7 linked regions of the Macaca mulatta genome follow. The protein of the gene in region 1 interacts with the protein of each later gene in a biochemical or structural test. Links are inferred from orthologs where the notes say so. Each region holds a gene or a part of one and is shown in the gene's direction. Other genes may lie near its edges. The genes, in order: CDC42, PAK2, CDC42EP3, TRIP10, PAK1, CDC42EP5 and IQGAP1.

Evidence for each region.
Region 2: the proteins of CDC42 (region 1) and PAK2 form a complex in vitro, tested with the Homo sapiens proteins (4 studies listed by BioGRID, with this or other methods). The link is inferred for Macaca mulatta from reciprocal best matches to the Homo sapiens genes CDC42 and PAK2.
Region 3: the proteins of CDC42 (region 1) and CDC42EP3 form a complex in vitro, tested with the Homo sapiens proteins (2 studies listed by BioGRID). The link is inferred for Macaca mulatta from reciprocal best matches to the Homo sapiens genes CDC42 and CDC42EP3.
Region 4: the proteins of CDC42 (region 1) and TRIP10 form a complex in vitro, tested with the Homo sapiens proteins (3 studies listed by BioGRID and IntAct). The link is inferred for Macaca mulatta from reciprocal best matches to the Homo sapiens genes CDC42 and TRIP10.
Region 5: the proteins of CDC42 (region 1) and PAK1 form a complex in vitro, tested with the Homo sapiens proteins (11 studies listed by BioGRID and IntAct, with this or other methods). The link is inferred for Macaca mulatta from reciprocal best matches to the Homo sapiens genes CDC42 and PAK1.
Region 6: the proteins of CDC42 (region 1) and CDC42EP5 form a complex in vitro, tested with the Homo sapiens proteins (2 studies listed by BioGRID). The link is inferred for Macaca mulatta from reciprocal best matches to the Homo sapiens genes CDC42 and CDC42EP5.
Region 7: the proteins of CDC42 (region 1) and IQGAP1 form a complex in vitro, tested with the Homo sapiens proteins (6 studies listed by BioGRID and IntAct). The link is inferred for Macaca mulatta from reciprocal best matches to the Homo sapiens genes CDC42 and IQGAP1.

Annotation. Positions count from the first base shown.
Region 1 is NC_133406.1:218,932,870-218,936,978, reverse strand, and holds the start of CDC42 (cell division control protein 42 homolog), read left to right. Parts: upstream 1-1,309; 5' UTR 1,310-1,347; coding exon 1,348-1,452; intron 1,453-4,109. UniProt on the Homo sapiens protein: Plasma membrane-associated small GTPase which cycles between an active GTP-bound and an inactive GDP-bound state. In active state binds to a variety of effector proteins to regulate cellular responses. Involved in epithelial cell polarization processes.
Region 2 is NC_133407.1:2,356,721-2,360,220, forward strand, and holds part of PAK2 (serine/threonine-protein kinase PAK 2), read left to right. Parts: intron 1-948; coding exon 949-997; intron 998-1,476; coding exon 1,477-1,589; intron 1,590-3,188; coding exon 3,189-3,306; intron 3,307-3,500. UniProt on the Homo sapiens protein: Serine/threonine protein kinase that plays a role in a variety of different signaling pathways including cytoskeleton regulation, cell motility, cell cycle progression, apoptosis or proliferation.
Region 3 is NC_133418.1:87,264,273-87,268,435, forward strand, and holds the start of CDC42EP3 (cdc42 effector protein 3), read left to right. Parts: upstream 1-1,363; 5' UTR 1,364-2,102; intron 2,103-4,163.
Region 4 is NC_133424.1:7,604,940-7,608,439, forward strand, and holds part of TRIP10 (cdc42-interacting protein 4), read left to right. Parts: intron 1-616; coding exon 617-764; intron 765-846; coding exon 847-909; intron 910-1,148; coding exon 1,149-1,253; intron 1,254-1,349; coding exon 1,350-1,478; intron 1,479-2,197; coding exon 2,198-2,344; intron 2,345-2,443; coding exon 2,444-2,638; intron 2,639-3,500. UniProt on the Homo sapiens protein: Required for translocation of GLUT4 to the plasma membrane in response to insulin signaling. Required to coordinate membrane tubulation with reorganization of the actin cytoskeleton during endocytosis.
Region 5 is NC_133419.1:77,772,864-77,776,363, reverse strand, and holds part of PAK1 (serine/threonine-protein kinase PAK 1), read left to right. Parts: intron 1-582; coding exon of another isoform or gene 583-642; intron 643-2,214; coding exon of another isoform or gene 2,215-2,267; coding exon 2,268-2,387; intron 2,388-3,500. UniProt on the Homo sapiens protein: Protein kinase involved in intracellular signaling pathways downstream of integrins and receptor-type kinases that plays an important role in cytoskeleton dynamics, in cell adhesion, migration, proliferation, apoptosis, mitosis, and in vesicle-mediated transport processes.
Region 6 is NC_133424.1:66,777,911-66,780,618, reverse strand, and holds the end of CDC42EP5 (cdc42 effector protein 5), read left to right. Parts: intron 1-1,686; coding exon 1,687-2,133; 3' UTR 2,134-2,208; downstream 2,209-2,708. UniProt on the Homo sapiens protein: Probably involved in the organization of the actin cytoskeleton. May act downstream of CDC42 to induce actin filament assembly leading to cell shape changes. Induces pseudopodia formation in fibroblasts. Inhibits MAPK8 independently of CDC42 binding.
Region 7 is NC_133412.1:80,370,156-80,373,655, forward strand, and holds part of IQGAP1 (ras GTPase-activating-like protein IQGAP1), read left to right. Parts: intron 1-94; coding exon 95-235; intron 236-331; coding exon 332-416; intron 417-1,493; coding exon 1,494-1,726; intron 1,727-2,666; coding exon 2,667-2,799; intron 2,800-3,500. UniProt on the Homo sapiens protein: Plays a crucial role in regulating the dynamics and assembly of the actin cytoskeleton.

The DNA of each region.
Region 1 (4,109 bases):
CTGCACTCCAGCTTAGGGTATGGGAGTAAAACCCTGTTTAAAAAAAGAAAAATATACTGCAGATAATTTTGATGAGGAACGGGAGAGTGTGTATTTCCTGTAGGTTACTCACACTAGTGTAATTTCGTGTTCTTGATTTTTGCATCCTTTCAACAACTCGCAGTGTGCCAGTCTAGAAGTGCTCAGTGCTAGAAGTATAGTGGTGCTTGAGGTACTATAGGTTCATTTACAGGGATGTTAATAGGCGTTTATAAATTGTTATGATTAATTGTTGTGAATGGTGCTATAGGAGCATGGTGGCATCTGACCAAGAGTTAGGTGGTTCTGTATTTTTATGTTTAATTAAACCCTTTTAGGATTATAATTTAAATTAATTTACATATAAATAAATCTTAAAATTTAGGTATATATTGGGTGGTATTTCTTTTTATTCTTTCAGAAAACTGTTAAAGTATTTCATTGAATCTAAGATTCCAATTTCATAGAAGTCAAAATGTGGGGGAAAAATGGCTGATAATGATTGTAAGAGACTCAATAAAGATACATTCTGACTTTAGAGATGTTTAAATGAAAAAAAGTTTCTCAAATTAATGACTCTTTGGTACTTGTAATTGATAACTTCTTAAAATTGAGGAGAACTCGAATAAGAGAAGCTGTAGTATCTGTTTATAAGTCAGTATGCTTTAGAGCAGTCTGACTTTTCATTATAAAAATGTAGGTTTTGGACTAGGCATTCTGGTGCTAAAACAGCTGCTGAGGCCAGCGATCACCCTGTTCTTTGTTCAGTTCCTCACGTTACTCATATAATTCGTGTGAGGCTCTACTGCTTGTTGGTCAGAGCCTGAGTAAGGCTGAGTAAGGCTGGATAATGAACCATTCTTTAAAGCGGTGGCCTTTGTATTGCAGTCTAGTTCACATACATGCATACATACAGGTGTGTGTGCACGTGTAACCGAAGAAAAGCTTTCACAAAATAATATTTAGTACAGTATGTGGAATTTTCTCTGATACAGTCTCTTCTTTTTCATTATAAAAATAAATTTGCTGTTTATCACACCAGTTGGGACCTTCTGAAATAACACTTAAGAAGTTGAAACAGCCAGGGATCAGAAACTTAGAAATGAACCTTATTTGTTATTGTAACTTATAGCAAGTCATTGTTTCTCTTATTGGGTTCTTTTAGCCATAATAATTGTGCTAGTTCTTTTCTTGCTCTGAGTGCCTTAACCTGTTGCTAAGTGAGGAAAAAAAAATACATATATAAGCATAAACAAACATGTCTTTAATCTTTTTGCAGGTCAACATCAGATTTGAAATATTTAAAGTGGATACAAAACTATTTCAGCAATGCAGACAATTAAGTGTGTTGTTGTGGGCGATGGTGCTGTTGGTAAAACATGTCTCCTGATATCCTACACAACAAACAAATTTCCATCGGAATATGTACCAACTGTAAGTATAAAGGCTTCTTTCTGTTAGTAAAATGTAAAATTTGATACCCTTTTGAAAATTCTTTCTCTGTGTGTACTGAATTTTTTTCTGTTTTCTGCCTTTGTTTCCTGTTTTTAAAGATCTTGACTTCTCATGGGTAAATTATATACACTTTAAAATTAAACAGCTGAAAAATCAGTGGAAAGTCAGAAGGGGTGACACAAGGGTTTACAAGAAGTGCTGGGAGGCAAAACTCCAGTAGACAAGATTCTAACGAGTGGTGATCTCAATTTGGTGAAGTATGCCCTACATCTTGGAATGAGGTGACTTTTTTTTTTGGATATTTTGGCCAGTTATTGAACAGTACTTGGAGGTCTCCTGGGATACCATTTGGGGTCCTGTAACTTGAGAGAAAGTTGTATGTGTCTCCACTTTTCTTGTGGAACTATTCTCTTAGCAGTAATGGAGCTCCAAACTGGTTGTTAGGGGCAGAGAAGAGAAGACCTGTTATGTTATGAGAATACCAACAGAAACCTTTGGGGGTCACCCCCCACAACCTTTTTTTTTTTTTTTTTGGAGACGGAGTCTCTATCGCCCCTTCTATCTGGAGTGCAGTAGTGCGATCTCGGCTTGCTGCACCCTCCGCTTCCTGGGTTCAGGCAATTCTCCTGCCTCAGCCTTCTGAGTAGCTGGGATTACAGGTGCCCGCCACCACGCCCAGCTAATTTTTGTATTTTTAGTAGAAACAGGGTTTCACCATGTTGGCCAGGCTGGTCTCGAACTCCTGACCTCAAATGATCCACCCGCCTCGACCTCCCAGAGTGCTGGGATTACAGGCGTGAACCACCATGCCCGACCCCACAGCTGTTTTTTAAATCAGCTCTTTGGAATGGGAGAAGGAAGGTGGGAATAACAAAGATATTGAAGTGAGAGAGAGAGAGACAAGAGTTAGAGTAACACTCATTTGTGAAAGGTAGTGAGACGCTGTCTCAAAAATAAGTAAAGTTGTTTATTTTGAAGGGGGGAGAATTTGAAGGTATTATTAAACACTAAAATCACATTGATATTTTGAATTGGCCCATTTGGAGACAAGATAAATGGAAGATGTTGTGAGGTTCAGTGGACTTACAGGGGACGTTTAGAGGTATATGAATCTTGTTTCAGAGTGAGGACAGCTATCAGAGTTTTTCTGTTTTAGTTTCCATTGAAGTTGTTTAACTTGTAAACATAATTTCTGAGTCTTTTATGACTTTGATCTTCTGGTGTTGTATTTTAAGTGGGCTTGTGGGTTTTTTATATGTATGTTTGTGTGTACATCTCTGGAAAAGTGATAGGGTGGAAGGAAGAGTAGTAGAATAAAATTTTAAATGAGCCGATTTAGGTAAATGAATGGACCATGAGGCACAAATAATGTTCTCATGGTACCTGTTGAAGTTAGTATGGAAATGGATTTGGTGTAAAATGCATTTTAGTTCCCATCTATAAATTGGAGCTTGCCGTTTCTAGAGTAATAGAAATTCAGAGTTGAATGGGACAATACATACTGTCTTATCCATCGCTTATGGATGAGAGTACTCAGGCCCAATTTAGGGATGAGACTTAGAAGTCTGACTTTAATTACTTAGTGTAATTACACTAGGGAAAGTAGACTTTGGAATGGAAGCCAGCTTTTCTGATTCTTAGTCTGGTTTTGGATATGAACAATCCAGTAAAGGAGGGTTGTTTTTGAGTCTCTTAAGTGCGATTTAAGAAAGTTATGTGTTTGGTTTGAGAGCTTAATCACATTCATTCGATTTCTTTGTTCTTGTTTTTAAGAACGAACTTTCCTTTGTCATCTCCCTCAGGCCCTTGCTTCTCTTCTTCTTTACATTTAAATAAGCTCTTGAGCAGTCTGTTAAAACATAAATCAGAAAATCAGAGTAGGTACCCAAAGGTTAAGTAGGGCTGGTCTTAAAATGTGGCATTCTTCTCCTAGTTGGAAAGCTTTGCTTTTCTTTTTATATATATCATTTAATTTTTAAATTTTTATTGTAAATTGACAGATTATAGTTGTATATGAAAGCATTGCTTTTCTATTGTAAATTAATTCTAAAGACTCCAGAATTTGTGTTGGGTCTTTTCCCATTTAGCATTGTTAAACCTCCCATTTTCACACATAACTTAGTACAACCAATATTAGTATATGCTGTACTGAATTTGATAAGGGTTTTATGGTCTATTTACATATTAAGCATCTTGTTACAGAAGATGTCTCACATCATGCAGTTTGTGCCCAATAACATGAATTTTACTCACAAAATTCCCAGCTGGCCAGTCGCAGTGGCTCACACCTGTAATGCCAGGACTTTGGGAGGCTGAGGCAGGCAGATCATGAGGTCAGGAATTTGAGACCAGCCTGGCCAACATAGTGAAACCCCGTCTCTAAAATTTTCTCTAAAAATACAAAAATTAACTGGGTGTGGTGGCATGCACCTGTAGTCCCAGCTACTCAGGAGGCTGAGGTGGAGAATCGCTTGATCCCGGGAGGCAGGTTGCAGTGAGCTGAGACCATGCCATTGCACTCCAGCCTGGGAGACTCTGTCTCAAAAAAAAAAAAAAAAAAAAAAAAATCCCAGCAAATAATCTGTCAGCCTTTTCTTGGACACTTTGAGTACTTTGAGGGAACCGTTATTTCTCTC
Region 2 (3,500 bases), on another chromosome or scaffold:
TTGCAGCACTGGTTTTGTGAAAGAGAATTGAAGATTATCTTATTATTTTTGAGCATGAATGAACAAGCAATGCCTATCCATATGGATGACCATCACAAATCCAGTATTGAGTAACAAAAGCAAGTTGCAGGATAATATGTGAAATGAAACTATATGACTTTAAAAATTAGGCAGGCCGGGCGCGGTGGCTCACGCCTGTAATCCCAGCACTTTGGGAGGCCGAGGCGGGTGGATCACCAGGTCAGGAGATCGAGACCATCCTGGTGAACACGGTGAAACCCCATCTCTACTGAAAATACAAAAAACATTAGCCGGGCGTGGTGGCGGGCGCCTGTAGTCCCAGCTTCTAGGGAGGCTGAGGCAGGAGAATGGCGTGAAACTGGGAGGAGGCGGAGCTTGCAGTGAGTGGAGATTGTGCCACTGCATTCCAGCCTGGGCGACAGAGGGAGACTCCGTCTCAAAAAAAAAAAATTAGGCAAAGTATATTTTATAGGGATAAACATCTGTGTCCTTTGTAGTTAAAAGTATGGAGAAATGCATGAAAATGATGAACATCAAATACAGGATAAACACCAAATACAGATCACCTTTGGGAGGAAGGAGACTGCTGTTGGAAAGGGCTCATGGGAATCTTCAAATTATTTATAGTTCTTTGTATCTTAATCAGGGAAGTGTATCCATAAGTATATGTTACATATATTTTTTCTTGATCTTTTTTCCCTACATTTTTGTAGGTCTGAAATATTTCAAACATAAGTTTTGGCCATGAGGATTGTCTCTTTTTCTTCCCCCACCCCCTTTCCTCGTGTTTTTGCTTTTACTCCTTTTAAGCATGTTAGGTCGTCACTGTTCTTTAATTCTTTTTCAGTTGCTTGAAGTGTAAAGTCTTTGGATATTGTAAATGCTGGTGATTTGTCAACCTTAAATCTGGCTGTTTTCTCCCTCTAGGGCTTCTGGTACAGTTTTCACTGCTACTGACGTTGCATTGGGACAGGAGGTAGCTACTTTGTCATAATCCTGGATGTTACCATTATTTTGTCATATAGGTGGAAACTAGATAAAGCTGGGAAGAATCACTAGGACTCTCTTTTAAGTTGAACATGTTGTAAGGATTGCTCTACGTGTTTTTATAGCACTTCTGTCATTAAGGGGAACAAAGAAGGAATTTTGAGTTTAATGTCATAAATAAGCAAGTATTTAAAAATTGTTTTCTCAGCTCAAGTGAAAAGAGGATTAATTCTTAGTGTTGGACTGACTGTGGGTGTATTAACTTCAAGATAAATCTAAAACTGTTTAGGCTCTATACATTACAAAGCATTGTGCAGAGGCAATGTGCAAGTAAAAGTACCACCTATGAGTAATAGCATTGTATAATATAATATACATGCCGTAAAGTAAGTTATTAACTGCTTGGTGTTTGTAATTTTTTAAGAGAATTCGTAAACCTGATTTTTTTCAATCCTGTTTTCATTATAGGTTGCTATCAAACAGATTAATTTACAGAAACAGCCAAAGAAGGAATTGATCATTAATGAGATTCTGGTGATGAAAGAATTAAAAAATCCCAACATAGTTAACTTCTTGGACAGGTAAATATGATTATTTCTTAAACATTGGGATAAAAATGTAGAAATTTTAAGTCTCATGGTTTGGGGGCTGGCTAGCCACTTTAGAATAAACTGTCAATGCTGAGAAATAAGAGGAGAGGTAAAAATAGCACACTGCAGTTTTAGAAGGTCCTTCTCTACAAGGATATCACTTGGCAAGTGAGAGAAGGCAGTTAAATGAAGGCCATAGCTGGTGGTGTTTATATTCATTGCAAATGACCTGAAGTGAAAACATGAATGGTTGGCTGTGATTCATGTCGTGACTGACAGGGGACTGGTCATATGGTTTTTAAACTTGTAGATCAATTTTTATTTCAAATGCTATCCTTTATGGACAAATTGTATGTCTATCAAAACCTCATTTAGTTTAGGAATTAATGTTAAATAACAGACCAAAAAGCAGAATAGAAAATGATGCATATTGGCCAGGTGCAGTGGCTCACACCTGTAATCCCAGCTACTCAGGAGGCTGAGGCAGGAGAATCGCTTGAACCAGGGAGGTGGAGGTTGCAGTGAGCTGAGGTCGCACCACTGCACTCCAGCCTGGGCAACGCAGTGAGACTCCTTCTCAAAAAAAAAAAGAAAATGATGTATATTACTACAACTGCGCTTGAAAAAGCAGTCACATATACGAATGAGAGAAGATTAGTTGAAAATGACAACAGTGGTTTTATTGAAGATAGAGGTGATTATAGGTGATTTTCTTCCATATTTAAATTTGTTTAGAATAAGGAAATGATAATACATTTCGAGACTTTAGCCCTAGTTATGGAGAACATGTTCATAGAAATAAACTTTTCAGGCCAGGCACAGTGGCTCATGCCTGTACTCCCAGCACTTTGGGAGGCCAGGGCAGGTGGATCATGAGGTCAGGAGATCGAGACCATCCTGGCCAACATGGTGAAACCCCGTCTCTACTAAAAATACAAAAATTAGCTGGCCATGGTGCCACGCACCTGTAGTCCCAGTTACTCCGGAGGCTGAGGCAGGAGAATTGCTTGAACCCAAGAGGCGGAGGTTGCAGTGAGCCGAGATCGCGCCACTGCACTCCAGCCTGGCAACAGAGCAAGACTCCATCTCAAAAAAAAATAAAAAATAAACTTTTCAGGTACAGTTCCCTGCTTTTTGAAATAACATTTCAAGTCAGCATAGTAGGGTGGTTAAGATAAGCCATGGGCTTTGGAATCGTTGATGCTTGGCTTCAGATTCTGGTTCTGTCACTTACTATTAATAGCTATGTGACCTTGGATGAGTCACGAACCTCTCCAAGCCTTTGTCTCTTTATCTCTAAAACGGGACTAGTAATTTCTATATTGTAGGATTATTTTAATCAGAATGAATCTGTGTGCATACTCACACTACAGTTGTGGGCAAACTGTAACTTAAAAATGATTCAGGGTCATAACCTCAGTTATTTTTCTGTGCTGTTACATAGCAGCTTTCCAATTTTCTTCCTAACTCTCAAGCTACCAGCCCTCTAGTTTCATTGTTAGGGTGTTTAATATTTGAATTCTTCAACATAGGATACCATGTGTTTAGAAAAAATGTAAGTGTGAGTGTATTTGGTATGTGTATTTTTAGTTACCTGGTAGGAGATGAATTGTTTGTGGTCATGGAATACCTTGCTGGTGGATCGCTCACTGATGTGGTAACAGAAACCTGCATGGATGAAGCACAGATTGCTGCTGTATGCAGAGAGGTAGGTGTGCCTCCTCCTTGATACGTTATGGTGATATGTGGTTAGCAAGAAGTGAACAAAAGGAACTTTTTCTGCACAGTTAATTGTTATTGTGGGAAGTGCTTTCTCTGTACACATTCTCTACAAGTTACTCCATCCCCATACCATTTCATCCTACACAGGCATTTCAGCCCTTTCCTTCAGGTATAAGATAA
Region 3 (4,163 bases), on another chromosome or scaffold:
AAATAAAGTACTTTTAACAGCAGCTAACAATAGATCACATAAAAAAAATTACATACAAGACATGTGTGTCAGGAATGTCTTTATGTGTTCAAAGGGAATTTTTCATGTGGTATTTTATACATATAATACACACATATTATTTGGGCTTATAAAATACCATATGTAATGAAAACTATGCATAAATATTTATAAAAATACCTTTTTCTAAGTAGGCCAGCAACATTTAATATTTTTCAATAAATTAATATATAAAATATATACATTAGTGCCAAATGGAACATATAATTTGAAATATGAAACCCAAGTAAAATGCTCAGGAATCTGGAGTAGAATCCAGGTATCTGCCAAAGGAAACTTTGGACGAGTTGTCTTTTGAAGAAGGGAAACAATGCTGGGTCTCTTATCTTCATGGACTGTTTTGCTTGTCAAACTTCTAACATCACTTCAGCCGAGTTTCTTATTTGACTTCCAACCTCATGGCCATTTGACCTGCCAACTATTATTTTTCTTTGAAGCTTTTAACACCCCACCCAAGTATTTTGCTTTCCAGATTGTGTCCGTTTCCTTTTCACTTCACCTTAAAGTCAGCCTGGGTTTACAACATCGGCTTAAGGTGCACCCTCTAGGGTTTCAGACAGACCTAGAGGACCGCGGTGATGACTGAAGCTAGGGACCTCTCGGCAAAGCCAAGGTGCCCGGAAAGTTCTCCGCGTTGTGCCGGGATTTCCATCCAACCTGAGAGTCTCAGGGCAGAGACCAGGCCCCGAGCATCCGACTCCCCGGGGTCCCAGCCCCCTCCCCAGGCTAATCATGCGGGCTGGGACCTCCCAGCCGGAAAAAACCGCCCTTTCCTGTCGCCTACTCCTTCCCCAGGCCGATGACTCGCGGAGGAGGAAAAGACGGAGGCCGATTAAGAAAATTAGCATTCATTAACCCGGTTCACGCTAGTGCCCCGGCGGAGGGGAGGGGTGCGCCAGTCGGCGGCGCTGGCTGTGGCCCGCTGACCGGCGGGCGCAGGTGCCACCACGGGAGGAATTTTACGGTCCCGGGCCGGCAGCTGCGCCACTTGCGCCTCGTCGCGCGTCTGGGGCAGCCGCCACCAGCTTGCTTCAGCTTTAGGCAAATCCTTTTGAAAGACCCTGAGGGAGAGGAAACGCCTCCCTCTGGACAGGAGAACCTGTAGCGTCTGCTGTTCGTCGCTTGTCCAGTTGCTCAGCCCGGAGCTCCGGCATCTCCAGGGCGCGAAGTCCACGCTCCGGGTTTTGGCTGCAGCTCCAAGGGGAGCGAGCTGGAAACTGACAGAACGCGACCCTCCCCCTCCGCGCCCACCAGAGCACTGGCTGCGAGGGACCTGGGGAGCTGCGGCCTGAACGGGGAGGCGCGCTCAGGTGGCCTCGCTTCCCTGCCGGTCACCGCCCGCCACACCGGAACTTCGCACGGCTAGGTCGGCCTGTTGGGATCGGGAGAGGTGGGCGCACGAGGTTTAGTGCGGGAGTCCGGGGTGCGGGCGGAGTCCTATTGTCCCCGTGCACCCGGGCGGCAGCACCTCCGGGTCCCTCTTTAAAACGAGCGTCCGACGACCTTTCTTTGTGCTTAGGGAGTCGAAAGCGGCGTCTTCTCCGAGGGAAGTCGCCTACTGGGGGGTAGCGCTGGAGAGGTAACAATGGGCGCCCGTTGTCCTCCGAGGGTCCAACGGTGAACCCCCCTGCGCGCGCGCCCGGCTGCCGGTTGGCCCCGGGCCAGGGCACAGGTACAGCGGCCGGGAGGGTCGGCCCCGGGGCCCGTGCCCTCCGCCCCGCCCCAGTCCGTCCCCGCGCCGCCGGCCCCGCCCCGCGCCGCCCCGCCCTCCGCAGGTTCAGTCCTCGCGTCCTGCCGCCCAGCTCTCAGTTGCGCGCACCTTCTCTTGCGGCCGAGGGTCCGCAGTGCGGGGTTAGCCCGGAGACCCGGCCACCGGCCTGGGGCGCCTTCACGCTGTCTCGGAGCGGATAATGCGGTGAGCAGGCACCGCGCCGGCAGACTCGGCTGGATCTGCGCACACCGGCCGGGGCTGCGTGCGCCCGCGGGAGGCCCGGGGCAGCGGCTGGGATTCTCAGCGGCGGCCGGTGAGTCTGGGTAATCCAGGGTTCCTTCCTCTCTACCTGTCTGTGAGTCTGTCCCGCCCGCGCCGTGGCCGCTTCCGGCGTGCGCTGGTGTTAGGCTGGGAAACCAGCAGGGAGCCGGGATACCGAGGGCATCGCTTTCACATCTAGTGTCCAACGGACCGAAGGGGACATAAAGCAAGCCAGGAGTGGGGCGGGCGGCATGACCGGGACTCAGAGCTCCACCATTTGTGCCCACCGCTTTTCAGGGTGGGGCAGCGCGGCCCCATTGCTCCCTCCGAGCTATTGACAGAGCCATTCTGGGCGCGTATAGCATTTTTCCATCTGAGAACAAGCCGCACTTGGCTACCGCGCCCCTCGCGTCGTGAATTGGTACCAGGGCCGCACATGGGTGCATCGCACAGCTCTGCCGTGGCATCGCCTGCCCGGTGCCCTCCTCTTTCTTAATGGAGGACATTGTTAGTGGGGCGCCAACCTGGAAATCTGGATATTGACTTTTTTGTTTTTTGACGGTGAACAGCTGAAACGTTTACAAGGTTTTTTGATTGTAGTTTTCCTCCCTTTCTCCTTGAAACCAAGTGGCTTGACACAGACAAGTATCAGACGTGAGGACGAGTGGATCTGGCCAATCGTTTTTTCGTTATGAATTATTATACTCTATCCCCCTCCGACTTTGGGAGGCATGTGTTTCATCTTATAAATAGAAAGTAGCATATTTTTTGGCAGGATCTCCTTTATACTGTGCAGTCTAGGAGAGGTCAGTTTAAAAATAAATATGCACTTGAATGTTACATTACCGAGAGCCAGGCTGTGGCTGGGACAAGCTGCGTGGACAGCAGCATCAAAGCCGGGAGCGCAGCTGTGTTGAAAGGAGTAAAAGCCCCAGAGTGCAGCGCAGGCTGACAGTCAAGTAATTACATTTTGTTTAAAAAAAAAAAAAAAAAAAGTGAGCGAATTAAAATGAGGAATGTCAGGAGGGTATTGCAACATGAATCTTTCCAGCCCTGGCGTCTTTGGAGGAGTGGGCTGCTGGTGTGTGCTGAGGGTATGGGGGGCTCTAGGGAGGGAACTGATGAATGTGTTAGGGAGACAAAGATTCCGTTCCCATCTCCCAGATCTTAGTTCCCACAATATCCCAGAGTTTCTGGGGAGTACTCCCATTTAAAAAGAACAAAAATTAGGAGAGCAGCAGATGTCTGTATTTTAATAGCAAAGCCAGTCTTAGGGACTTCCTCTTAACATCACAGGGAGAAAAAAGACTCGCCAGGAACCAGGGATGATGCCCCAAAGGTATACCTAAGAGAATTTAAACGACTCCTGTAATGTTCTAACTTACACAAGAGCTTTCATCTTAAAACCGGGAAAAATGTACCTTCTCTTCTTTTCTGGACAGTCCCAGAAGTCTATTATTTCATACCCCCTGCAATTTGTGTGAGTTCTTATTGGTAGTTAATAAGCTACACAGGTAGGTGTGTGATGCATACCCTTTTCAGAATAGATTTAGACCCTCAGAAATAAGTTGGAGTAGTTGTGAAATATTTAGCATTTTCATGTATCATGAAATACGTGATAAAGGCCTTTTATATAGTCAAGGAATGGTGGAAAGTTCTTCATAGTCTCCCAAATAATGTGGGTTTCCCAGTGGGCCTCACCCATTGAATAAGACAGCGTCAGCCTCTGAGTTCACAGATAAGAACTTTAGAGGAGAAATTTGGAAGCATTTCTGGATCCATGGCAGTTTCTGTTTTCCAGTGGTATCATCTGCTAGAGATTTACATGATGAAGTCTATGATTAGAACGTGGTGCTGAGGCTGTGGCAGCAGCTACAGGCTTGAAATAAGATGAGCTCCTCTTTCCCTCAATCTGAGCAGTGAAATTGTTTCGCATATCTCTATGGAACAAGTAAAAGCAGCTAGAGTAATGCGTGTTGCACACTTTTTGCTTTTTATTGTACATTTAAGTGTGGTGCAAGATGAGTAATACAAAGCCGTAACAATGATTGCAGAAGGGCTCACGTGAGTTCATTTGCCCTGTCTGCCCTCCAGCCTTTCCTTTAATGTGGTG
Region 4 (3,500 bases), on another chromosome or scaffold:
GTAGCTGGGATTACAGGCACATGCCACCATACCCGGCTAATTTTTTATAATTTTAGTAGAGACAGGGTTTCACCGTGTTAGCCAGGATGGTCTTGATCTCTTGACCTCAGTATACCATCTTTAAAAACTGGAAAATTCTGTGTTCCAAAATACATTCGAGGTCCAGTGCAGTGGCTCACACCTGTACTCCCAGCACTTTGGGAGGGTGAGGCGGGAAGAGGCGGAGTTCGGGGGGATTGGAGTTTGAGACCTCATCTCAAAAAAAAAAAAAAAAAAAAATTAGTCAGGTATGGTGGCGTGTGGCTGTGGTCCCAGCTATTTGGGAGGCTGAGGTGGGAGGATCACTTGAGCCCAGGAGTTTGAGGCTGCAGTGAGACACGATTATGCCACTGCACTGCAGCCTGGGTGACAGCAAGACCCTGTCTCAAAAAAAAAAAAAAAAAAAAAAAAAAATTCTACTCAAAGGTTGGGGTTAAGGAATATGGACCACAACTTGTCATTGCTTCGAGGATTAAATTCTTGGGGCTTAACCCTTTTCCACCTGGAGGTGCGTCCTGGGGCATCAGCCTATTTGGGGGGCCTGACTCCCTGTTCCCCGATTCTCATCCTACCCCAGATTCAGCCAGCAGCAGTCCTTCGTACAGATTCTCCAGGAGGTGAATGACTTTGCAGGCCAGCGGGAGTTGGTGGCCGAGAACCTCAGTGTCCGTGTCTGTCTTGAGCTGACCAAGTACTCACAAGAGATGAAACAGGAGAGGAAGATGGTGAGGAACTCCCCTCCGATTCAGGTTTTGGGAAGGGCTCCTGCTGGAACCCTGGCGAGCCTTATCGCTCTTCTTTCTGTAGCACTTCCAAGAAGGGCGGCGGGCCCAGCAGCAGCTGGAAAACGGCTTCAAACAGCTGGAGAATGTGAGTTTGCAGAGGTGGCAGTGACTGTGGCCCGGAGGCACGGGGGTCAGGGTTGCAGATCCTGGAGTCAGGGACCTGCCCTCTTTGTCAGACCTGGTCCTTCCCTGCCCCATAGGCTTCTAGTACGCCCTTGTCCCCTACTTACTGGTTGACATCCCAACAATCCCTGAAACCTTGGTTTCCCACCCTGCTGTCTTTGGGAGGGTGGCTCCCTCACTCTGGTTCTGTCCCCTACACAGAGTAAGCGTAAATTTGAGCGGGACTGCCGGGAGGCAGAGAAGGCAGCCCAGACGGCTGAACGGCTAGACCAGGATATCAACGCCACCAAGGCTGACGTGGAGAAGGTGTGTGAGGGGGTGGCGGGGTCTGGGACAAGCTTAGGGGGTCCGGGTGGGACGTGACCAGAACCTGGTAGTACCTTCCACCTCCTCATTCCTCAGGCCAAGCAGCAAGCCCACCTTCGGAGTCATATGGCCGAAGAAAGCAAAAACGAATATGCAGCTCAACTGCAGCGCTTCAACCGAGACCAAGCCCACTTCTATTTTTCACAGATGCCCCAGATATTTGATGTGAGTGCTCCCAGTTCTCAGACCTACCTTCCCAAAAGCCCCCAAATGTTAGCCAACTCCTGCACATTCGTCAAAACCCCAGCTGCAATGTCCCAGTCCCTAGATTGAAAGGGAATCAGAAACCTATCATAACAGCGAGCTGTGCTTTTAATCAGCTGTTCTTCCTGCTGGGCATGCCTTTTACTTGTTTGTTTATTTACTTCTATAGAAAGATGGGGCCTGGCTCTGTCACCCAGGCAGGAGTGCAGTGGCGCAATCCCAGCTCACTGCAGCCTGGAACCCCTGGGCTCAAGCAAGGTTTCTTTCCTTTTGAAATTCCTACTTATTATTTTAAGCTCCACCTCTAACAACCTCTCTGAAAGGTCTCGAATTTCCCCTCTCCTGTTTCAATCTAGCGCTCCATTCTCTGTCCCATCCCAGGCCCTGGAAGTATCAGGGCTGGTTCTGCTTTTTCTTCAAATCCCTGCTCCTTTGTCTCCTCCTTTGAGAAGCCTTTGCTGACCCCCTAGGCAGGCGTCCCCCTCTGAGATCCCCCTGGCACTGTGTCGCTCCCCAACCACACTGGGCTGGAGTCTCTTCTCTTCCTGACTCTGTCTTCCCCTCCAGACTGGCTTGGGGTTGGGGCCAGCGTGGAGTGCGATCATATTTGCAGAGTGAATCACTGTGCTTCTAGTCCCTCTGTTAGCACCCCTGAGCCACCCTTGTCCCCGTCCCTACAGAAGCTCCAAGACATGGATGAACGCAGGGCCACCCGCCTGGGTGCCGGGTATGGGCTCCTGTCGGAGGCCGAGCTGGAGGTGGTGCCCATCATCGCCAAGTGCTTGGAGGGCATGAAGGTGGCTGCAAATGCTGTGGATCCCAAGAACGTGGGTGCCTGGTCTGGGTCCAGTGGGTCATGGGAAGGGCGGAGGGAAGTCCCCATACGCTGGTCACTTGACTACTCATCCACTGTCCCCCTCCCCCAGGACTCCCAAGTCCTTATAGAGCTGCACAAGTCAGGTTTTGCCCGCCCGGGCGACGTGGAATTCGAGGACTTCAGCCAGCCCATGAACCGTGCACCCTCGGACAGCAGTCTGGGCACCCCCTCGGAAGGACGTCCGGAGCTCCGAGGCCCAGGCCGCATCCGCACCAAGCGCTGGCCCTTTGGCAAGAAGAACAAGGTGGGGGCCGGGACCCTTGGGATGGTGGGGGAGAAGGACAGTGAGGTGGGGACAGCGGGGCCCCTGTTGAGTCAGCCCCAGCCGCCTGAACGCCGAGTCCCGGGCAGGAATTTTCCTCTTGGCTGCCAGCCCGGGCTGGAGGGAAGGAAGGCGGGCGGGCCGCTTGGCCTGGGAGTCCCCCGAGGCGAAGGCGGGGGCAGGGTGGGGAGGTCTGTGGCGTTTGTCTGCTGCTTCTCGGGATGCTGGGAGAAAACCTGCTGGTGGAATTCAGAGCTGGCCTGAGGGCTGGTAACACCATCCCTGGGGACTTCCCGAGTTTCTCTCTCCATCCTGCTGATGGGACTCCGGGAGCTGCCCTGCACGTCCTGGTTTCTTGGGTTTTTGGATTTTAATATACCTTAGCACCCTTGGTTTATACCTTTGATTTATACTCTGGGTCCCTCTTGACTTACACTCTCATACCTCTCCTTGACTTCCACCTGCGATCCCCGAGCTTAAACCTCTGATGCCGCTAACCCCTCTCATTTTCCTGCCTTCCACTCCCTCTCAGCTTGTGGTTTTATTTTTGTTTATCTTTTGTGTCCTCCGTGGCCTCACACCTGTCTGAGACCTCGATTCCTGCATGCGTCTTCTAGACTGTCAGCCCAGAAAGCTAAGTGGACAGAGAGACATGGGCCTCCCTGCCTCCTGGACCCATGCTTGCTCCCGGACATAACATTCCAGAGACCTAGGAGATACCGGGGGTGTGAGAGTTCTGGCTTTTGGGCTTACAGTTTAACGTCCTCCCCGCCACCTTCCAGATGTTTTTGTGTCGCTCCTGCATGCGTTTTCTCTGTGTGATTGTGTATCTTGAGTTGTGGTT
Region 5 (3,500 bases), on another chromosome or scaffold:
CATGGCTTGCTCCCTTAATTCATTCAGGTCACTGTTATATGACATCTCATTAGAGAGGCTTGCCCATGCCTATGGTATCTAAAATAGTGTCTCCCCACCCCCCAACCAATCTCTGCTCCTATGTGGAGCAGAGACTTTGGTGATTGTTTTTTACTCTATTCTCTTCTAGAATGTAAGTTATAGAACCAGAGGCTTTATCCGTTTTATTCTTTATTTAGCCCCAGAGCCTAGAATGGAGCCTGGCACACAGTGAATGGATGGATGGATGGCTAGATGGGTAGATGGATGATGAATAGTGGAATGTGTGGCTTTTGTTTGAAACAGAGATTTGTGATTATTAGACATAATGATAATTTAATTGATTCCTTACATCTTTCTAGCTCTTTACCATTTTCAGTGATTTTATGTTCACTTTGCCTCATTTCATCCATTTAATGGCCCTCTGAGGTAGGCAGAAAGCTGTAGTCATTATCCCTATTTTATATATTAAAAATGTGAGACTTAACTTAGACCCTTGCCCAAGGACACAGGGCTAACAAGTAAAAATCTAGGTAATAACCTAGACCTTTCTCTCTCTGACAGATGTTATTATCACTGCCCAAAGCTATCACCTATGGAAGACAGAATCTTTTACTGAGGAAGGTGATGAAATCCCCTTCTCTACAGTTTTATAAAGCAAACAAACCTAGTGTTTATAGTATACATCAGGGGAGCTCCAGGGCTACCTGATGATGAAGAGCCTTGCTGAGTCAACTTTATTCCCACATTAGGTTTTTAGTTAAATTTTGTTGACTAGTGGGGAGAAAATAAATTAGAGCAGAAAAATATCGAAATACATATTTTGACAGGGAAAGAACCTCTCTTGAGTTTTGGAACTGAAAACGATTTAAGGTCATCCCTCAAATTATAACACTCCTCTTCCTTCACATTCCTCAGGTGATTAAACTTCAAACCAAGAAGACAGATTTATTGCCTGTGGTCACCACAACTGCTTATATATGCCCAGCACTGTCAGTTTTTAAGTTATGCTTTGTGCTGGAGGCCCTGTTAAAGTCTATGAGAGTGCCAGTTTTTCCTACTTTTGTATGTCAAATGTGGTAAAAGACAGTCTTCCACAGTCAGTAGCTCTAGTATATTATTCCTTAGTTCTTCCATTTATCCCGTTATTCTGACTCTTGACCTTCCTCTTAGGAGGCTCCAGGTGTCAGGCAGGAGGGGCTCTCATCCTCTGTCTATCGCCTATACCAGATGGTCACTACTTTAGGACATGGACCATCTTTTTCATCTTTGTACATTTATGTCAACAGTATCAGTCTTACTGAGCACAAAGTAGGTGCTCTGAAAATACCTGAAACTATTGAATTATATCAGTATATATTAAAAGATCCCCATTGCCTCTCTGGTTCTTTGCTGACCAAATGATAGAATCATTTGGTCTCTATCAAAAATCTCATGTTTTGGAGGCATTTTGTCTCTTAATTCTGTGTAATAAACAGTAATGGCATGCTATTTTTGCCTGGACCTGCCCTAAAACCTGCCACTCTTGGCCCAGCTCTGTTACAGTTTGCATGGGGAAATCAGGTTGTCACAGATTGTGAGCAGATCTAATTAGTGATAAGTTCCATTCCAGGGTAGGGCGGAAGCTTAGGGAAATAGTATCCAGTCTGGGGAGAAATTCATTGTTCTCTTTAGACAACATGATCCTGATGCTGATGTTCTTTATCTTCAGGTTGAGGTGAGGACCCCTGGTGACGTAATGGGTCCAGGAAATTTTTGCAAAGAGAGGAAAAGGACAGGGCAAAAGCCTGTTTAGACTGCCATTTACCATATCAGGAGAGAGTAAGAAATTATAATGATGAATTTTGAAAAATTAGAAACTTTTGATCCCTTCCCTACATTTCATACTTTATTTCCTATTCAGTATGGAGAGCAAAATTCATAGAATAAGAAGGTACTGTGAGCTTGTCTTCAGGGGTTGGGTTGGGGGAGAGGCAGGTAGAAAAGCTGTAAGCTAGCTTCCCATTCACAGTTAGGCTTTGGGTGGGAGAAGGAAGCTCCAAGGGATTGAGTGGATATGATGGCTAAGAGAAGAGGGAGAAACAGATTGAGTTTCTGAGACTAGCTACACGGAGGTGAGAGCTTGGAGGCTAATGTGGATTTCAGAAGGGGTATCAGGTTGGGGTTTCTCCCTGGGGGGTTTGGTGATCCTGATAGTTAAGTTCCATGGCAGCTGGACCAGATGCATCTTGCTTTTCTTCTTTGCACAGAATGTGAAGGCTGTGTCTGAGACTCCTGCAGTGCCACCAGTTTCAGAAGATGAGGATGATGATGATGATGATGCTACCCCACCACCAGTGATTGCTCCACGCCCAGAGCACACAAAATCTGTGAGTCTTTGGGACCTGGACAGTTTTGTGATTTATTAGAGTAAGTGGGGAGAGGGAGGAGTTGGTGCTAAGACCTAGAAATTTAATATTCTGGTAGGGGTCCTTAGATTTTGGAGCTGGTGAAATCACTGAACTACCTTGACTAAAGGTACTTTCTGTATGATTAAAGACAAAAAATGGTGTATTTATTTATCATCGGTTTGTAGATAGTCCCAAAGTGTCCTATGTAATTGATGTTTATACCAATCCAGTCTTGGTTTGCTTAGCCTGTTCTCCACAGATAGGACAGGAAGATATACAGGATTGATGCTACTTAGTGCAGGACAAACATAAATTATTCCAGTCTCCAGGGAAGCAACAAATTGTCTTGCTACAGATCTTTTCTTCTCTGTTAAATATGCAGCATTGAGCCTCTTAGAGCATTATCGATAATACTGAAAGACCCAAGAGAATTTATAAATACATTAGCGCTATTAATATGCTGGGCATCAGGAGTGCATTTTGATGCCGGATGTTGGCAATGATTTCTGTTTAACTTTCTTTGAAGTTCCTGCATCTAAGAATAGCCATAGTCCCTCTACCCTTGCTTTGAAAAATCTAGTCCCCGTGCCTTTTACTTAATTTGGCATCACTGAGCACTGACCTGCCATCAGATGATACTCTACTAGTGTTTCTTTGTTTAGGTCCATAATGAAGGAACCATCTAGCACTTCTGTGATCTTGAAAATAAATAAATAAATAAATAAATAAGGGCTACCTCTGGAATACGGCATTCAGGGAGGTGTTCGAACAGAAATTGGTTGAGTGACTATTGGAGATGCTGTGGAGGAAATTCAAAGGAATTATATGACCTTTTAAGATGAGAACTTATAAACAGAATCTGTGGAATCATTTTCTCTGTAGGTCACAAAGTTACCTTAAGGGAAAATGGGCTTCAAAATTGGAGAGTTGTTAACACTGATACGTTTTTTTTTATTTGTAGGCATGTTCATTTAAAACATTTTTTTCCCCACTAAACCATGAACACCTCAAAAAGTAGAGGAAATCCATATATATGTATTTCTAGTGTTTAACATAGTTCTTGGCACCTGCAGAGGTGGGTAAATATCAGAG
Region 6 (2,708 bases), on another chromosome or scaffold:
CCTCCGCCTCCCAAGTTCAAGCGATTCTCCTGCCTCAGCCTCTCAAGTAGCTGGGATTACAGGCATGCACCACCACAACCAGCTAATTTTGTATTTTTTTTTTAGTAGAAACGGGGTTTCACCATGTTGGTCAGGCTGGTCTAGAAGTCCTGACCTCAGGTGATCCACCTGCTTCAGCCTCCCAAAGTGCTCAGATTACAGGTGTGAGCCACCGTGCCTGGCTAGGGAATTTGTATTATTATTATTTTAGAAAACATAAGACATCATAATATTAGGTTGTAGTCTTTCAAGATCAGGTACAGTTGTCCCTTGGTAGCAGTGATGGGATTGGTTCTGGGATCCCCATGGATACCAAACTCTGAAGATGTTTAAGTCTCTTATATAAATGCCCTAGTATTTGCATATAATCTATGTACATCCTTTCCTACACTTTAAATCATCTCTAGATTACTTATAATGCATAATACAATGTAAATGCTTTGCAAATAAGTGTTATATTGCTTGAAACTTGTACTCGTTTTTTTATTACTGTATTTTTCCCCAGTATTTTTGATCAGCAGTTAATTGAATCTGTTGATGCGGAACCCACAGATACCAAGGACTGTAATTCAAATCATAAAATGCACCCTAGGCAAAGTCTGCCTGGGCCTCTTCCTTGTGTGCCTGGTGGGCTCTAGGCAGGATCTGCTTTGCTCAATGGACAAAGTCAGCCCTGTCTTCAGAAAAGGAGCCTGGGAATTTCCATCTTTGACAAGCTGGAGTTTTCTTTTTCTTTCCATTGAGCCAGGATTTCACTCCTGTTGCCCAGGCTGGAGTGCAGTGGCCAGTGCAGTGACACAGTCTCGGCTCCCTGCAACCTCTGCCTCCAGGGTTCAAGCGATTCTCCTACTTTAGCTGGGATGACACGCATGCGCCACCATGCCTCGCTAATTTTTGCATTTTTTATAGAGTTGGGGTTTCGCCATGTTGTTTAGGCTGGTCTCGAGCTCCTGGCCTCAAGCGATCCGCCTGCCTCGGCCTCTCAAGCTGGGATTACAGGCGTGAGCCCCCGCACCCGGCCCAACAAGCTGGAGTTTTCTATCAGTCAAGTCTGGGAAGCACTCTGAAGGGTTTGTGAAATATTTGTTATTTGGCCTCTAGGAAGGCTCGAGTATTCGCTCTTAGGAGGATCGGCATAGCGTGGTGGTCATGGGAATTCTGGAGTCAGGTTAGGAAAACCTCGATCCAAATGTGAGTTCAGCAGCTGTGCCCATGGGACCTCCTGGAGTCTCATCTTACCCCATCTGTGACACGGGAGGCCGGGCGCGGTGACTCACGCCTGTAATCCCAGCACTTTGGGAGGCCGAGGCGGGCTGCTCACCTGAGGTCAGGAGTTCAAGACCAGCCTGGCCAATATTGTGAAACCCGTCTCTACAAAAATACAAACATTGGCTGGGTGTGGTGGAGGGTGACTGTAATCTCAGCTACTCGGGAGGCTGAGGAGGAAGAATCGCCTGAACCCGGGAGGTGGGGGGGGTTGCGGTGAGCCGGGATGGCGCCACTGCACTCCAACCTGGAGGACAGAATGAGACTCCGTCTCAAAACAACAACAAAAAAAACGGGAGCTGTCCCCCATGGTCCTTTGAGCAGTCTCGCGGCTGCGAGCCCCGGGCTGGGGCCTCGCTGACCCTCCCGTGCCCCTCGCAGATGCCCGTGCTGAAGCAGCTGGGCCCCGCACAGCCCAAGAAGCGGCCGGACCGCGGCGCCCTGTCCATCTCCGCGCCGCTCGGCGACTTCCGGCACACGCTGCACGTGGGGCGCGGCGGCGACGCCTTCGGGGACACCTCGTTCCTGAGCCGCCACGGCGGCGGGCCGCCCCCAGAGCCCCGGGCGCCCCCCGTGGGGGCCCCCCGCTCCCCACCACCGCCCGCCGTCCCGCAGCCCGCGGCGCCCTCGCCTGCCGACCCGCTTCTGTCCTTCCACCTGGATCTGGGGCCCTCCATGCTGGACGCGGTGCTGGGCGTCATGGACGCGGCGCGCCCGGAGGCAGCTGCCGCCAAGCCCGACGCGGAACCCCGCCCCGGGACGCAGCCCCCCAAGGCCCGCTGCCGCCCCAGCGGGGACCTCGAGCTGGACGACGTCATCGGCCTCTAGGTTCCCCCATTCCCTGCGCCTTTCCCGCCCGGCACCCCACTTCTGTATACATAAACGTCCAAGGCGTGTGCCCGGGCTCTGACTTTTCACTTTGCACGTGGGAAGGGATGAATGATAGGGTCCTGGCGCCTCTAAGAGCCGGAGGTGTCACCGGGAGATCTGGTCCGGGTCGGATGATTGCCCTGGGGTGGGGTGCGGCTCCTTTAAGAGAGCCCGGGGGCGAGGCCAGGCGGTGCCGCTTGCAGAGGCGGCCGCTCCCGCAGTCCCGTTCGTCAAATACTGAGCGCCACCGCTGGCTGCACTTGGTCCTGGGGCCGGGCCAGACTCAGCCACCGCAGAGCCCGCCGAGGCGGGGCTGCCGATTGCTGTAGCCCCGGGAGTCCTGGGCCTCCACGCCTCGGGTGGACTCCGACCGGGCGGGGCTGCCCTTTACTCTGGGAGCGGCTGCAGAGGGAAGTGTCTGGGAACCCTTTTAGAGCAGTCGGGGCCTGGTCTCCGTGGGGGAAGGGTCCGCTGGCATCTTGGTTCTTTAAGGTCCCAGAAGGATGGGGCGAAACGTGCAAATGATTTGGACT
Region 7 (3,500 bases), on another chromosome or scaffold:
CTGGGTCTTTCAGTTTATGAAAGATAGGACACTTGCTTCAGGCTGTTCCTGGCTGTTAGTCTAACATAGTTGGGTATAATTTCTCTCTTCCCAGCAAACTGCCCTATGATGTGACCCCTGAGCAGGCGCTAGCTCATGAAGAAGTGAAGACACGGCTAGACAGCTCCATCAGGAACATGCGGGCTGTGACAGACAAGTTTCTCTCAGCCATTGTCAGCTCTGTGGACAAAATCCCGTGAGTGCCATCAGTTGTCATGACCCCCAGTAGAGCCCAGCAGTAAGTGCCTTTCTGCTCCTTGGCCCTTCTCACTAAGTTTTGTCCATCCCGCAGTTATGGGATGCGCTTCATTGCCAAAGTGCTGAAGGACTCGTTGCATGAGAAGTTCCCTGATGCTGGTGAGGATGAGCTGCTGAAGGTAAGAATCTGATAGCCGGCAGACTCCTGCCCTTTGAGGACAAAGCTATAAAAGCAGGACTGACCGTAGATCATTACTAACTGCCTAAGTGTAGGTTCTGGCAGTAGCTTGCCATTGATTGTGAGCTTTTGAAAACAATTGTAATTGGTAAATGATACCTCTCTTAGGATGAAACACTTCCTATAGTTTGGCGCACAAACATCAAACAAGTAGAAAGATGGATTTTTCCTGTTTTCAGATGAGTTTCTTTGAGTCCTGTCTTTTCGCTGTAGTATTGTTCCCTCTGCTGGTGACCTGGCAAATAGTAGCAAGCACAGTTATTTCTGCTAAGGCTGTTGCTGATAGCTCTTTCTTACTCAGCTGTGCTCTTCTCTTTTCTTTTTTTTTAATCTGAATGCTTTTTTCTTCTCTCTCCTAGTTCTGTGCTTTCCTACAGTGAGGCCTCGATTCTAGACTTTCTGTTCAGGTGAATTAATTTTATTTCTTCTGAATGAAACTCTAGGGGAAATGCTGTGACTGTCCCTGAATTCTTCTGTGGAACAGATGTGTGTTAAGTGAATTTAATTTCAGAGGCATGAACTTGGCCTTTGAAGTCTGCAGCATGAGAATGTTGGGAGGTGGGGTTACTCTATGCTGATTGGGTCATGTTAAGGAATTTAGCTATGTTTGTTAGCTTTTTATAAGGAAAACCCATCTACATGAAAGTACAAAGTGCACGTGGGTGACACCAGCCTTATTTGCTACCATGATATGTGAACAAAAGATGTCCTGAAATACTTAATAACAGACTTTAAGTGTATCATTTTTACCTTCTGAATCTGCTCTTTCATTAACTACTGGCAGTAGTTTTCAGTTCTGTTCTCATTGTTTTCCTGTATTGAACAAAGGGATATTTCATTTAGTTCCAGGCCATGAGAAAGAGTGTGTATATGTGCATGCGTGCATGTGTGTATGTATTTTTTATTTATTTTTTACTCATAGGACTGCATTTTCTGCTTTTCTTTGCTAGCAAAGTCATTTGTGGCTTACTTGGTGGTATGTCTTTTAATACCCATCTTTCTGTTTCATCTGTTCCAGATTATTGGTAACTTGCTTTATTATCGATACATGAATCCAGCCATTGTTGCTCCTGATGCCTTTGACATCATTGACCTGTCGGCAGGAGGCCAGCTTACCACAGACCAACGCCGAAATCTGGGCTCCATTGCAAAAATGCTTCAGCATGCTGCTTCTAATAAGATGTTTCTGGGAGATAATGCCCACTTAAGCATCATTAATGAATATCTTTCCCAGTCCTACCAGAAATTCAGGTAAGGGGAAAGGCACAAGTGCTTAAGAGAGTCTGTGGATGTATTTTTATCATTGAGGGAAAAGATAAGATTAAAAACCACCCCTCACTTTCCCTGACTGCCATATTGTAGAAGACATGTTTGATGTGCCCGGGACTCCAGAAGATGATCGATGTACTTTGAAGAGAATTTTCTTTTTTTTTTTTTTTTTTTTTTTGAGACGGAGTCTCGCTCTGTCGCCCGGGCTGGAGTGCAGTGGCCGGATCTCAGCTCACTGCAAGCTCCGCCTCCCGGGTTCACGCCATTCTCCTGCCTCAGCCTCCCAGGTAGCTGAGACTACAGGCGCCCGCCACCTCGCCCGGCTAGTTTTTTGTATTTTTCAGTAGAGACGGGGTTTCACGGTGTTCGCCAGGATGGTCTCGATCTCCTGACCTCGTGATCCGCCCGTCTCGGCCTCCCAAAGTGCTGGGATTACAGGCTTGAGCCACCGCGCCCGGCCGAGAATTTTCATATGAAATACATAGTAGTTAACACTTATGAAATAGATAGTAGTTAACATAAAAATAATGATGATTATGCATTTAGTACGTTACCTTGTAATCAGAGAAGAATTGGAGAATGCTTTTAATTTTTGTAAATTAACATCTAGTTTTGAATGCTTCAGAGCACTGTCTTAGAGATAGAATTGGTTCTCCTAATGGTGCCTGAGAACAGTTTTAAATCATGGTGCAATGGTTCTTAAGGATAAAACTAAAACTACAAACTAGGTGGAGAAAGAAGTTATTAGAGCCAGTATCCCAAGGTTGTCAAGCACAGCAAACACACAGCACTTTCTCTTGAAGTAACTATATTGACTGGCTTCTGTTTGCACTCATTGTGTGAGAGGTTTGTGAAATGTCCTCTTGCCAACTTCTCATGCATATGTCCCTTTTTGGGGGGCTGCTTCCTGTGCTTATTTTAGACGGTTTTTCCAAACTGCTTGTGATGTCCCAGAGCTTCAGGATAAATTTAATGTGGATGAGTACTCTGATTTAGTAACCCTCACCAAACCAGTAATCTACATTTCCATTGGTGAAATCATCAACACCCACACTGTAAGTATTTTTCTTTAATTACTTAATTTCATTGTCTTTAATTATTATCCCTGGCTGCTGGTTATCATCTCTGGTAGCCAGGTGTCTCACCTTCCTGTGATCTAACTGACGTGCATCTCCTTGATGTCTCTTTTTTTTGCTTGTTATTCTTTTTTATTTATTTATTTAGAAATGGAGTCTCACTCTGTCGCCCAGGCTGGAGTGCAGTGGTGTAATCTCGGCTCACTGCAAGCTCCACCTCCTGGGTTCACGCCATTCTGCCTCAGCCTCCTGAGTAGCTGGGACTACAGGCGCCCGCCACCACGCCTGGCTAATTTTTTGTATTTTTAGTAGAGACGGGCTTTCACTGTGTTAGCCAGCATGGTGTCGATATCCTGACCTCATGATCCACCCACCTCGGCCTGCCAAAGTGCTGGGATTACAGGCTTGAGCCACCACGCCCGGCCTTTTGCTTCTTACTCTTAACAATATCTACTGCTAGGTTTCTAAAATGTCTTCCCAGGCCATCTGCATCAGAATCCTATGGGCTAGTAGTTAAAAATGAAGTTTCCTGGAGACCGCCCAGGCCTACTGAATCAGAATCCCACTGAATTGATCTAGTACTTTGATAAAATAGTGCTTTTACTCTTCTTTCTTTTTACCCCAGCCCTCTGTGTTATTTTTCTAACATGATCTAGAATACTAGCTTCTTTCTCTGTGTA